Linked DNA regions of Callithrix jacchus. The protein of the gene in region 3 interacts with the protein of the main gene of each other region in a pairwise test. Links are inferred from orthologs where the notes say so. Each region holds a gene or a part of one and is shown on either strand. Other genes may lie near its edges.

Region 1 (3,750 bases), on a different chromosome or scaffold from region 3:
TACTTACTACGATTATTAACAGCCCATCAAAAAAAGAGGCTAGGCTGGGCGTGGTGGCTTATGCCTGTAATCCCAATACTTTGGGAGGCCAAGGTGGGTGGATTACTTGAGGTTAGGAGTTCAAGATCAGCCTTACCAACATGGTGAAACCCTGTCTCTACGAAAAATACAAAAAATAGCTGGGCTTTGTGGCATTTGCCTATAATTCCAGCTATGTGGGAGACTGAGGCAGGAGAATTGCTTGAACCTGGGAGGTGGAGGTTGCATTGAGCTGAGATTGCCCCTGCACTCCAGCAGCAAGAGAGAGTGACTCCATCTCATTTTATTTATTTATTTTTTAATAAAGACGGGGTTTCACCATGTTGGTCAGGCTGGTCTTGAACTCCCGACCTCAGGTGATCCGCCTGCCTTGGCCTCCAAATTGCTTGGATTACAGGCATGAGCCACCACACCTGGCCTGAGACTCCATCTCAAAAAAAAAAAAAAGGAGGCTCACCCTTAGAAAGGTTTCTATAAATTAACAACACAGAGAGGACACAGGAACAGATCTTGGTAAATATGGGCTATCATTACTTAATGGTGATTTCACCAGCCCCTTTCAGCCTCAGGATGAGCTCCATTACCCCTTCCAGGGATTATAGTCAAACCTACCCCCCCTTCCCACCAGAGACCAGGCTTAGAGAGACATTAAAGGTCCCCAAGCTCCAACTCAGAGACACAAAGGATATTCGAGAGAAGAATAGGTCAAGGTTTTCGATATGGTGCCAAGGTGCTGTGGGCACAGGAACAGAGAGGTCAGAGCTTTGAAGGAACACAAGCCCCTTGCTCCCTCAGTGCTCTTCCATCAACTCTCCCCTTGGCTGGCATGTCCAAGAACTCACACTTGCTCCCTTCAGCGACGTGGACCAAGAGGTCCTCCTCCCCTGGGGGTGAATCACTGTAGGAGGCCTCTAGGCGCTGGTATTCAGTATCAAACTGCGCCATCACCACCACCCCCTGTCCACCTTGACCACCTGCCAATGAGGAGGAAAGAGACCCTGATTCAGTCCCAGCTGCTGCCCCTGGCTGCCCAGCCTACTGCCAAAAGGACTGAGAAAGTACCCTTCAGCTTTGTCTCCACTCCCAGCCTCCTTGGAGAGGAAGAGGAGTAGTAATACAAGGAAGGCCATAAGCTCAGGACTTGGGAGGCCTTAACTCTGGCCAGTCTGGGTGTCTACTGCTGCCTTCCTGGCCCAAATCCAGGATCGGCCCCTTTGTTGGGGGCTGTTTCATCTTCTAATTAATGGATAGAAGAGTTCCTCCCCTGCCCATCCTGGGAACCCTGGTCTCCCAAGAGACTGGCAATTTGGAAGCATTTTGTAAACAAATGTTTGAGAAAAGCATATGGCCCTACCAGCTCCATGGACAGTGTGTGCTCCACTCCAGCCCTCGATGCTCTGCAGCTGCTGGGGGAGAAGATGTCAGGCCCCAGAGAGTGGGGATTAAAAAGAACCCGACCCTCCCAACCGTCCACACCCCACCAAGAGGAGGCCAAGCACGGGGCAGGAAGGCTGCAGTGGGGAAGAAGCACCCTTCCAGCCAGGACTACGAGCACTTCCTCTGACCATGCTAAACAGGGCCACTCTTCCAACTCTGGGGTCTCAAGAAGTAACTTAGGGACCCCATGGAGAGTAAGTCGGTACAGGTCTGAGGCCAGGGACCCCTCTGGACTGTTTCTCCATTGCCCCATCTCAGCCTCAGAAATGACATACTTCTCAGGGTCCACAAAACCCCAATAGAGTCTTTCCTGAAGAGGACCTTTCTGGTCAACCCCGTCTCCTGCTTCCCGAGCACCAAAGACCCAGCAGGTGGGCAGAGCTGCTGGATGGGAAACCTTGACGGGGTCAGTGTTGACCCCCGATCCTAGGGGCATTTGTGGGTTCCCTCGTGGGAGCCAGGCATGGTCGGTCAAGGTGGTACTCACCTGTCCGTGCAGCCCCTCCGGGCCTTGGATCTTGGCCCAGGCTGGCCCCGGTGGGATTCCCTGGGCTAGTGAGAGTCCTGAAGCTCAGGGAAGTCACCACTCACAGGGTCAGTGTGGACCAGGGCCCGTGGAGCCCCAGCCGGCAGGGCCTGGGCTCAGGGGTTCCTGCGGATATTGCAGGGATCGAGCCAGCCCTACAGCTGATACCCTGGGTGGGCTGGCTTGCCTCCCCACACCCAACCGTGGCGACCGGACTCCACCTCGCCCCAGGGTCGCCCGGCCCCAGGCCAAGGGTTCCCAGCTACCAACAGCGGACAACCTCACGCGCGGCCTCGTCGCCCGCGCGCGCTCTCGTCCGCGCGCGCCCGCAATCAAAACATTCCGGCTGCGCGCCCCCGCCCCGCCAGCGGCGCCCCTTCCCCCGTTACTCTCCGCGAGCTCACTTAGGGCTCCGCAAGCACCCCTGGCAAAGCCAGACACGAGCCCTGGGATTCCAATAACCTGTCTCAGGTCTCACCTCAGGAACAGTGACCCGGGTGATTCCAGGGCTCCGCCGGCCCGGCTCGGCTCGGCCAGACCCGGAGCGCTAGGCCTGGTGTCTGCCACTCACTGTCACCCGCAGCCAGGCTGGCCAATAAGCGCAGGGGGTGGAGACACAACGGCCAATTCTTGGCTTAAGGGGCGGGGATAAGGGCTCGAGGCGGGTCTTAGGCCGTCAGCGGCCCAATAGTGTGCTCTACGTGGGGCGGGGCTCAGGTGCGGACGACACTGGTTGTCCTCTTTGCTGCTCCGTAGTGACGGGGACTGTTGTGTTGCAGAAATCCGACTATCGACCTGTGGACGTGCGTGCTGCTCAGCTCCCGGGACTTTTGGTGCGGCTTCTAAGGGCGTGGGCGAGTTGCTGTGGGCCCGTCATTGCTGGTCGCATGGGTAACGAAGAAAGTTCGGCTAGGCAACCTCAGTGATTTTTAACTCTGTTGGATTCATTTGAGAGCTGGATGCTCCCCTGTATTTCATTATTTTGTGGGCCGGGACGGGGGTTTGAGAAAGCGGCTTGGGGTCAAGGTAGTCATCTCACAGCTGACTCCTGGTAGCAGGATGAGGGACGAGAAGCCTTGCGGTGCAGGAGAAACCAAGTCAGGCAAGCAGGAGACGCGGCAGTAGGATCTCGTTTGGGGAAGCTGTGTTTCTTACTCGCTTTCTGCTTCAGGAGCTGCTGCTAAATAATTTCTGCTCAGCCATGTCACCAGCTCCAGATGCAGCCCCGGCTCCTGCTTCCATCTCCCTGTTTGACCTCAGCGCGGATGCTCCGGTTCTTCAGGGCCTGAGCCTGGCGAGCCATGCGCCCGGTGAGGCTCTGGCTCGTGCTCCGCGTTCTTCCTGTCCAGGTATCTGGGAAGATTTGGAGTGGACCTATGTGAAATGTGGCAGGGCTCCTTAGAGTGTATTGCCCGTTCACGGAACACATTCTTACTGGTTCCCGAGCTTAGGAGGCCAAATTATTTATCTTTCTGCTTGATTAAATTCATTTAATCTCTGGGTAATTTCCAGCACAACCCTTGTTATCAAAGAAGTCTTGCTATTGCATATGTCTCCTCACTTTAACACCACTGGCTTCAAAAACACTTCAAACTTTCTCTCTCTCTCTCTCTCTCTCTCTCTCTATATATATATATATATATATATTTTTTTTTTTTTTTTTTTTTTTTTTTTGAGACGGAGTTTTGCTGTTGTTACCCAGACTGGAGTGCAATGGCACGATCTCGGCTCACCGCAACCTCTGCCTT
Region 2 (2,538 bases), on a different chromosome or scaffold from region 3:
TATCACATCCCTCTATGCCTGAGATCTTCAAGTCCCTGTGGATTCCAGAAGACTTATGAACAAGGGGAGAGTTAGGCAAACAAGGGCTGGTACACAGCTACCTTAATCCTGCCTCTTCTGCAAGGAAGTGATGCCTTTTCTGAGTGACTGGCCTGGCCAACACAACTTTCCTCATACTCCCCTGGGGAGAAGCCAAAGCTTGGGCCTCGTCATCCCAGCCTTGGGCTAGAGCAGGGAAAGAGGAGAACCAGGACAGGGACTAGTCAAACCATGCTGGGTACCATGACAGAGACTGGCCAAACTGTGGCTGCTTGGGTCCATTTGTACCCCAATCACGGGAAGGTCTCCCTCCCCAGTATGCCTACTCAATTTTAATTAACTCTGCCTCCCAGGTACCCTGCCACCACCCCTCAAACCATGGTCCCAGATTTCCTACCGGCATGTTCCTTCTGGGCAGAGGCTGCCTGGCTGAGGAACCATCTTCCAGGCTCCGTGCCCCCCGCCGATAGGAGCGAGTGCTCTCAGAGCTGGAAGGCAGGGAAAGGCCAATGTGATCCTGGTGTCCCAAGAGTTCTTCAGAGTTGGGAGAAAGGGCTCAGGAACAGAGCCAGTCTGGGGGCTTAGGATGGGTGGGTAGAGTCCACAAGTCCCCCAGGCCAGGTCCATCACAGGCCCATGGAATTGACCTCCAGAGGGCTCTGGGGATATCCCCAGGTCTACTTCTCTCCAAATTCCAGACTGAATGGGTTTGCAAGGAAGGGAGAAGACTGGATCCTGGGTTGGAGGTGGGGACAGTGAAGATGCCACTGGGAGCCCCTAGAACAAGCCACACAGGTAGGACTAACCCTCCTCTACTCTAGCATCAGCAGGCAGGATCCCTGGTTCCTCCTCAGCTCTTCATGCAGGACTTGGGAGCAAGTTTGTGAAGGGGGAAGGGGTCTCAGGGTCCAGCACTTCTGCATAAGTCATGGGCCCAGAGTGTGACCCAGTCTGTAGGCAGGTACGCTATAGAGGTGTGGAAATCAATGGATGCTCAGAGAATTCACGGGATTTGCCCTGGTTGCACAACTGGGCCCTCACCAACCTGAACCTGACGGGGAGATACATCTCTGAAGGGGTGGTCCCGGATGTCAGGCTGGGTCTGGAGGTGCCTGGGGGCTCCCGGAGGTCATCTTCAGAGCTGGGTGGGGCTTGGCTGGGACCCCCAGGGTCCGTGGGGCTCATGAGGCTGGAGGAGGAGGAGGAGGAGGCTGGACTGCCCAGGCTCTCAGGGGCCTCAGAGGCATCTGAACTCAGGCTGGGGACTTCAGAACGATCTGGAATCAGAAATGATGAAGCCTGTCTTTACCACTTGCTCTGTGCCCAACCTCAAAGTAGTCTCTGGCCTCTAGGATCTCTCTTTTCTTTCTTCTTTTTTTGAGACAGAGTCTCACTCTATCACCCAGACTCTCTGCCTCCCGGGTTCAAGCGATTCTCCTACCTCAGCCTCCCAAGTAGCTGGCATTACAGGTGTGCTACCATGCCTGGCTAGTTTTTACATTTTTAGCAGAGACAGGGTTTCATCATGTTTGCCAGGCGTCCCAAACTCCTTACCTCAGGTGATCCACCTGCCTCAATCATAGGCATGAGCCACCACACCTGGCCTAACATCTCTTATGGTTCTCTCCCCTTCTAGCTGTCCAGTATTCTTCAACTAGAGCCTTCATTCGCGGCTGCCAGGGCCAGGCTAACTCACTTTTTTACTTGTGCTCACACTCTGTCCTCAGTTTGGATTCTTCTGCTCATCCCTCAGGCTCACTCAGATACTACCCCCACCAGGAAGCCTTCCTAAGCCAACCCCCAATCCTAGCAGGACATGCTCCCTCCCTCCCCTAACCTCCCAGAACAAGTCTGTTTCTTCATTTGACAAATAGTTATTGAGAACAGCCAGGCTCTGCACTAGGTGCTGGACAAACTGTTTTCAACAAAACACTTAAAGTCCCTGTCCTTTGGAGATCTACATGCTATATCACATTGTGCCTTGTATTATAATGAACTGTATTCCAGTTTTTACCTCCCCTCCTAGTCTGTGTCTTTCTAGCCCTCAAAGGACTCAGGATGAAGTACATGCTCAATAAATCCTTCTCTCTCCTAAGTGAAGCATTGAGGAATTTGGAATAATATGGTCTGGGATTCGAATTCTACATCAGAGACTTATTAGCTGTGGGATCTTAAGCATGTGACTTAACACCTCTGTTCTTTTACCTGTAAGGTAAAAGAGGGGAAGATGAGAACCCCTCTCTGGAGGTCATTTTGAGGATGCTATGGACTAATATATGCACTCAGCTCAGTGCCCCGGCATACACAGACCCTCTGGGAATGGCATGGTGAGCATTTTTCTGGGCATCCAACTGTACCTCCACTGGCGCGTCTTGCACACCCTTGGACCATGGTCCGAGAAGAGTTTTTGATGGGCAAGGGCGGGGGACACTCCTCACTCTCGCCCTGAAGGTTGGCTGCTCCTAAGCTGGCGATAGTCTCGTAGGTCTTGTTGCTGAT
Region 3 (3,750 bases):
AACCCTGGCTTTTAACTGTGTCTTTTCTTTTACCAGCATTCTGAAGTACTGTATGTTGAAGTAATTCTCTGAACCCCAAATTCTTCAGCTATAAAATTAGGAATAATAAATGTCATAGATGAGGTATAGAAATTATCTGACCTATAGCAGGTACTATTCAAATGAAAGTAACGAAGTTATCCTAGGTCCTTTAATGGCCCTAAATGTTTGCTCCATTTCCCCTTTTCTTGGTATCTATGTGAAATCTCGGAATAAGGTGTCCACTTCACTAAACTTGAGTACACTGCGTAATGAGACAACCAACTCGAAGTGCAGACCTTTTGAGTTTAAACGGGTTTCAGCAGGTAAAATACATAAAGTTCACAGTGCCCTCGCAATTTAGGTAGACGAAAAAAAATCAGCCGGGGGGTGGGGTAGCTCCCCGTATGCAAATGTAGGAATTACAGAAGAAGACAGGCCCCCGCGCTACCGCACTTCCCCCTCCACAGTCCCGCGCGCTGGCGCGGGGGTGGAGATTTGCATGTGCGAAATCGGGAATAGGGGGAACCACCTCTCGAAAACCCCGGCCGTCGCCCTCCCGGGCTGCCAGGATCAGCCCCACTTGGCCGCCCGACGCGCCCCCAAAGGCTCCCGGGCGGCCGGCCCTCTCTACGTCACCCGCACCCTTCCGCCCGCTCCTGAACTTTAAACTACACTCGGAAGAACAACCTGGAGGAGGGGGATTTCTTAGGAGCCGGCGGCCTTCTCACGCTGCGAGCCGTCACCTCCCGGCGCCCACCGTTCCCTGCGCTCCCGAAGCTCCCTAGGTTCCCGCAGCCTCGACCCCCTGCCAAGACCACCACCACCACCACCGCCGCAGTGGCAGCAGCAGCTCTGGGGGCGTACGCGCGGAGGCGGGCAAAGAGCGTGAGCGTGCGCGGGGGGGGGGGGGGCCGCGAGGACGCGACGCCCCGCCCCACGCCTCCGGGTGAAGGCGGCCGCGTCGGGTATACGTCAGCCGCGGGAAATTCCCTCCCGCCAAGCAGCCCGCCTCTCGGCCGGGCGGGGAATCGGTTCTCGCCCCGCTCCGCCCCCTGCCCCTGGCTCCCGCAAGGTGGACAGGCGACGCAGGGCGACCCGGAGCGCAGGAATTCAGGGGGTGGGAAGGTGTGATCCTCAAACCCAACCGAGGGCGGGAAGAAGGAGGAGGACCCTGGGGTGGTCGGGGGACTGGGGGCCCCACCGGCACAGGTCCCTCGGCCTCCTGATTGACTGACTGACGGACTGACTGCGGCCGCCTCCGGCCGGGACGCTGGAAGCTGCCTGCGGGAAGGCGCGGGGAGCGGAGCCATGGCATCCGGTGAGTGTTACCGGGGGAAGGAGCTCTTCTGGGGATCCTGCCGCTGTGAGTTTAGGGAGCTTAGTTTTGGCTGGGGCGCGTTCTGTCTTTGAAATGTTATGTGATAAAATTGTCAGCTTTTTAAAAAGTCACCTGGTTCAGGGTTTGCGTCCGAAATCCAAGCCACGCTCTGTAATTTGATCCTGTTGTCATAAGCAAGAACCTTAGAAATTGCCAACGACTTTAGGATTAGGGAAGTCATAATCGAACTAAAGGAGTACGAGGAGTTCCCATACTTAAAAATGGGTATGTATTGAAGTGGTGGTTTTATGTTTTAGAACAAGAATGAGGAACCTTCAGACCTCGGGCAAGCTCTCTCCCCCTTTTTAGTTTAATTTCATCAGATGCAAAGAGGTGATCCCCCTTGTACTGACAGTTGTACAAAATGTGGCGCGGCTTTAAAAATCATCCGTGGTATTTTAACACGGATTTAAAAATCCGTGGTATTTTAAGTTTTAATGTTGCTTCGACCAACTGTGGGCCGGACACGGTGGCTCATGTCTGTAATCCAAGCACTTTGGGAGGCCGAGGCGAGCGGCTCACCTGAGGTCGGGAGTTCGAGACCACCCTGGGCAACATGGTGAGACCCCGTCTCTAATAAAAATACAAAAATTAGCCCGTAGTGGTGGCGCACGCCTGTGATCCCAGTTATTCGGGAGGCTGAAGCAGGAGAATCGCTAGAACCCGGGAGGTGGAGGTTGCAGTGAGCCGAGATCGCGGCCCTGCACTAAAGCCTGGGGGACCAAGCGAGACTGTATTTAAAAGAAAAAAAAATGTGAAGTTTTTATTGTGAGATAAAGCACAAGGTTTCTAATCTGACGAATAGAGACGTTGAGTCCCCGCTCCTCCCGGCTAAAAATAAGGGAAAAGGGAGTTTTAGAACATCGTGCTTTTAAATAGTAAGTAGGATTGAATACAGCTTTATTACTTTTAAATATATAATTTCCCTTAATAAATGCTCGAATCTCTTCCTTCCTCTCTCTCTTATACATAAGTTTATAAGAAACATTGCAAGGCAAGGAAGAGTCTCGTGTATACACAGACATGGTTTGGGGCTGCCTGTAGTTTAAGGTTAGGGGCGTAGGGGAGCCGGAGCTGGGGCCGGGAGATAAATCAAGTAACCTGGGTTCGATTTGGACTTTTACCAGGATTTTGGCAAGGTGAGTGGGGAGCGCTTTCCAGACAGAGGAAGCAGCGTGAGCAGAGGCAGGAAGGGCTAAACACATATATTAAATGCTGTACTAAGAGAATGAAGAGGGGGCCCCGTTTCTGAACTTGACTCCCATCCTCAAACTGCCTGGTTCAGTGACTCTTAGAAGAAAGCCGATGTCTAGTAGAGAAGAGGAAGTCGAAGCTTAAAGAATCTCTTTAAAAGGTTGAGCAAAACAATGCTGTAGCTATTGCTGTAGGCAGAAAAGGAAATTGGGGTGTTTCACTTGACATTTGATTTCAGTTTGTGGTTGTGAGAATACAAGTGTAGTTTAAAATATTTCAACTTTCCCTTTACGTGCTTAAGTGACCCCAAACTTTCAGATAATTCTGTACGTTTGTGAATTCAAAGCATGTGTAGATTGTAAGTGCTAACTAAGATGACTTCAAATATTTTGTTAATTTATTGGTTATCAGAAAGATTTTGTTTGGAAGTAATGAAGAATACCTAACGTAAGTAAGAAAGTTCAGCCTTCTGGCGATTTAATCAAACATTACTAATATATTGCATGAATGTAATACTTCTAATTTTTTCAAATGCGAGAGAAAACAACCATTTCTATATAGACTATTCTAAGATTCACAGGATTTTAAAATGTGTTACAATTTAAATTTGTTCATTGACACTGTATTTTGTGCTGTTGTGAGGACCAAGGATTCCCTAAATGTAAGGAGGAAATGTTTAAAGAAATGGAAAGTTTTAAAGGTTTGGAAGTTGAAGGGTGATTTAACTTTTTGTTTTTTGGTCTTTTCTGAATAGTTGCATTAAAATGGGACTATTTAAAATGTAACAAGTTATTTAAACTGTAATTCAGTTATTAGAAAACTGTCAGGCCTGGAATTTAAAAAAATGATTAAACGAATCTGTGTACTTTTCCTTAATCTGTTATATAAAGACCTTAGAGATAGAAAAAGATTCGCTAATGAAATTCTAAATTCCCATTCTGTTTTGAAACAGTAATTTAACCGGAAGAGTGACCAAAAAAAATTGCTTAGTTTTTCATTGCCTAATTTAGATTCTGTTGGTAGTAAGGTAGCATTAAAACTCAAAAAGTACTTTTATTCATTACAAAGCGTTTAAGAATATTTCTTCATTTCTCACGAGATATCATATATGAATAGGTATATGTAGTTGAATATGTGATATCTATAATGTAAAAGTA

What was found.
Region 1: the proteins of REL (region 3) and ATG9A interact in binary tests that used the Homo sapiens proteins (3 or more experiments, as listed by UniProt). The two-hybrid records come from large-scale screens. The link is inferred for Callithrix jacchus from reciprocal best matches to the Homo sapiens genes REL and ATG9A.
Region 2: the proteins of REL (region 3) and ASAP3 interact in binary tests that used the Homo sapiens proteins (3 or more experiments, as listed by UniProt). The two-hybrid records come from large-scale screens. The link is inferred for Callithrix jacchus from reciprocal best matches to the Homo sapiens genes REL and ASAP3.

What each region holds. Positions count from the first base shown.
Region 1 is NC_133507.1:140,966,479-140,970,228, forward strand, and holds the start of ATG9A (autophagy-related protein 9A), read right to left. Parts: upstream 2,565-3,750; 5' UTR 2,481-2,564; exon of another isoform or gene 2,129-2,480; 5' UTR 1,964-2,128; intron 1,446-1,963; exon of another isoform or gene 1,443-1,445; 5' UTR 1,394-1,442; intron 1,014-1,393; 5' UTR 985-1,013; coding exon 882-984; intron 773-881; coding exon 729-772; intron 1-728. Other genes in the region: tRNA endonuclease ANKZF1, read left to right, coding at 3,204-3,351. UniProt on the Homo sapiens protein: Phospholipid scramblase involved in autophagy by mediating autophagosomal membrane expansion. Cycles between the preautophagosomal structure/phagophore assembly site (PAS) and the cytoplasmic vesicle pool and supplies membrane for the growing autophagosome.
Region 2 is NC_133508.1:60,176,648-60,179,185, forward strand, and holds part of ASAP3 (arf-GAP with SH3 domain, ANK repeat and PH domain-containing protein 3), read right to left. Parts: coding exon 2,397-2,538; intron 1,317-2,396; coding exon 1,085-1,316; intron 528-1,084; coding exon 437-527; intron 226-436; coding exon of another isoform or gene 172-225; exon of another isoform or gene 83-171; intron 1-82. UniProt on the Homo sapiens protein: Promotes cell proliferation.
Region 3 is NC_133515.1:53,248,075-53,251,824, reverse strand, and holds the start of REL (proto-oncogene c-Rel), read left to right. Parts: upstream 1-1,075; 5' UTR 1,076-1,329; coding exon 1,330-1,339; intron 1,340-3,750. UniProt on the Homo sapiens protein: Proto-oncogene that may play a role in differentiation and lymphopoiesis.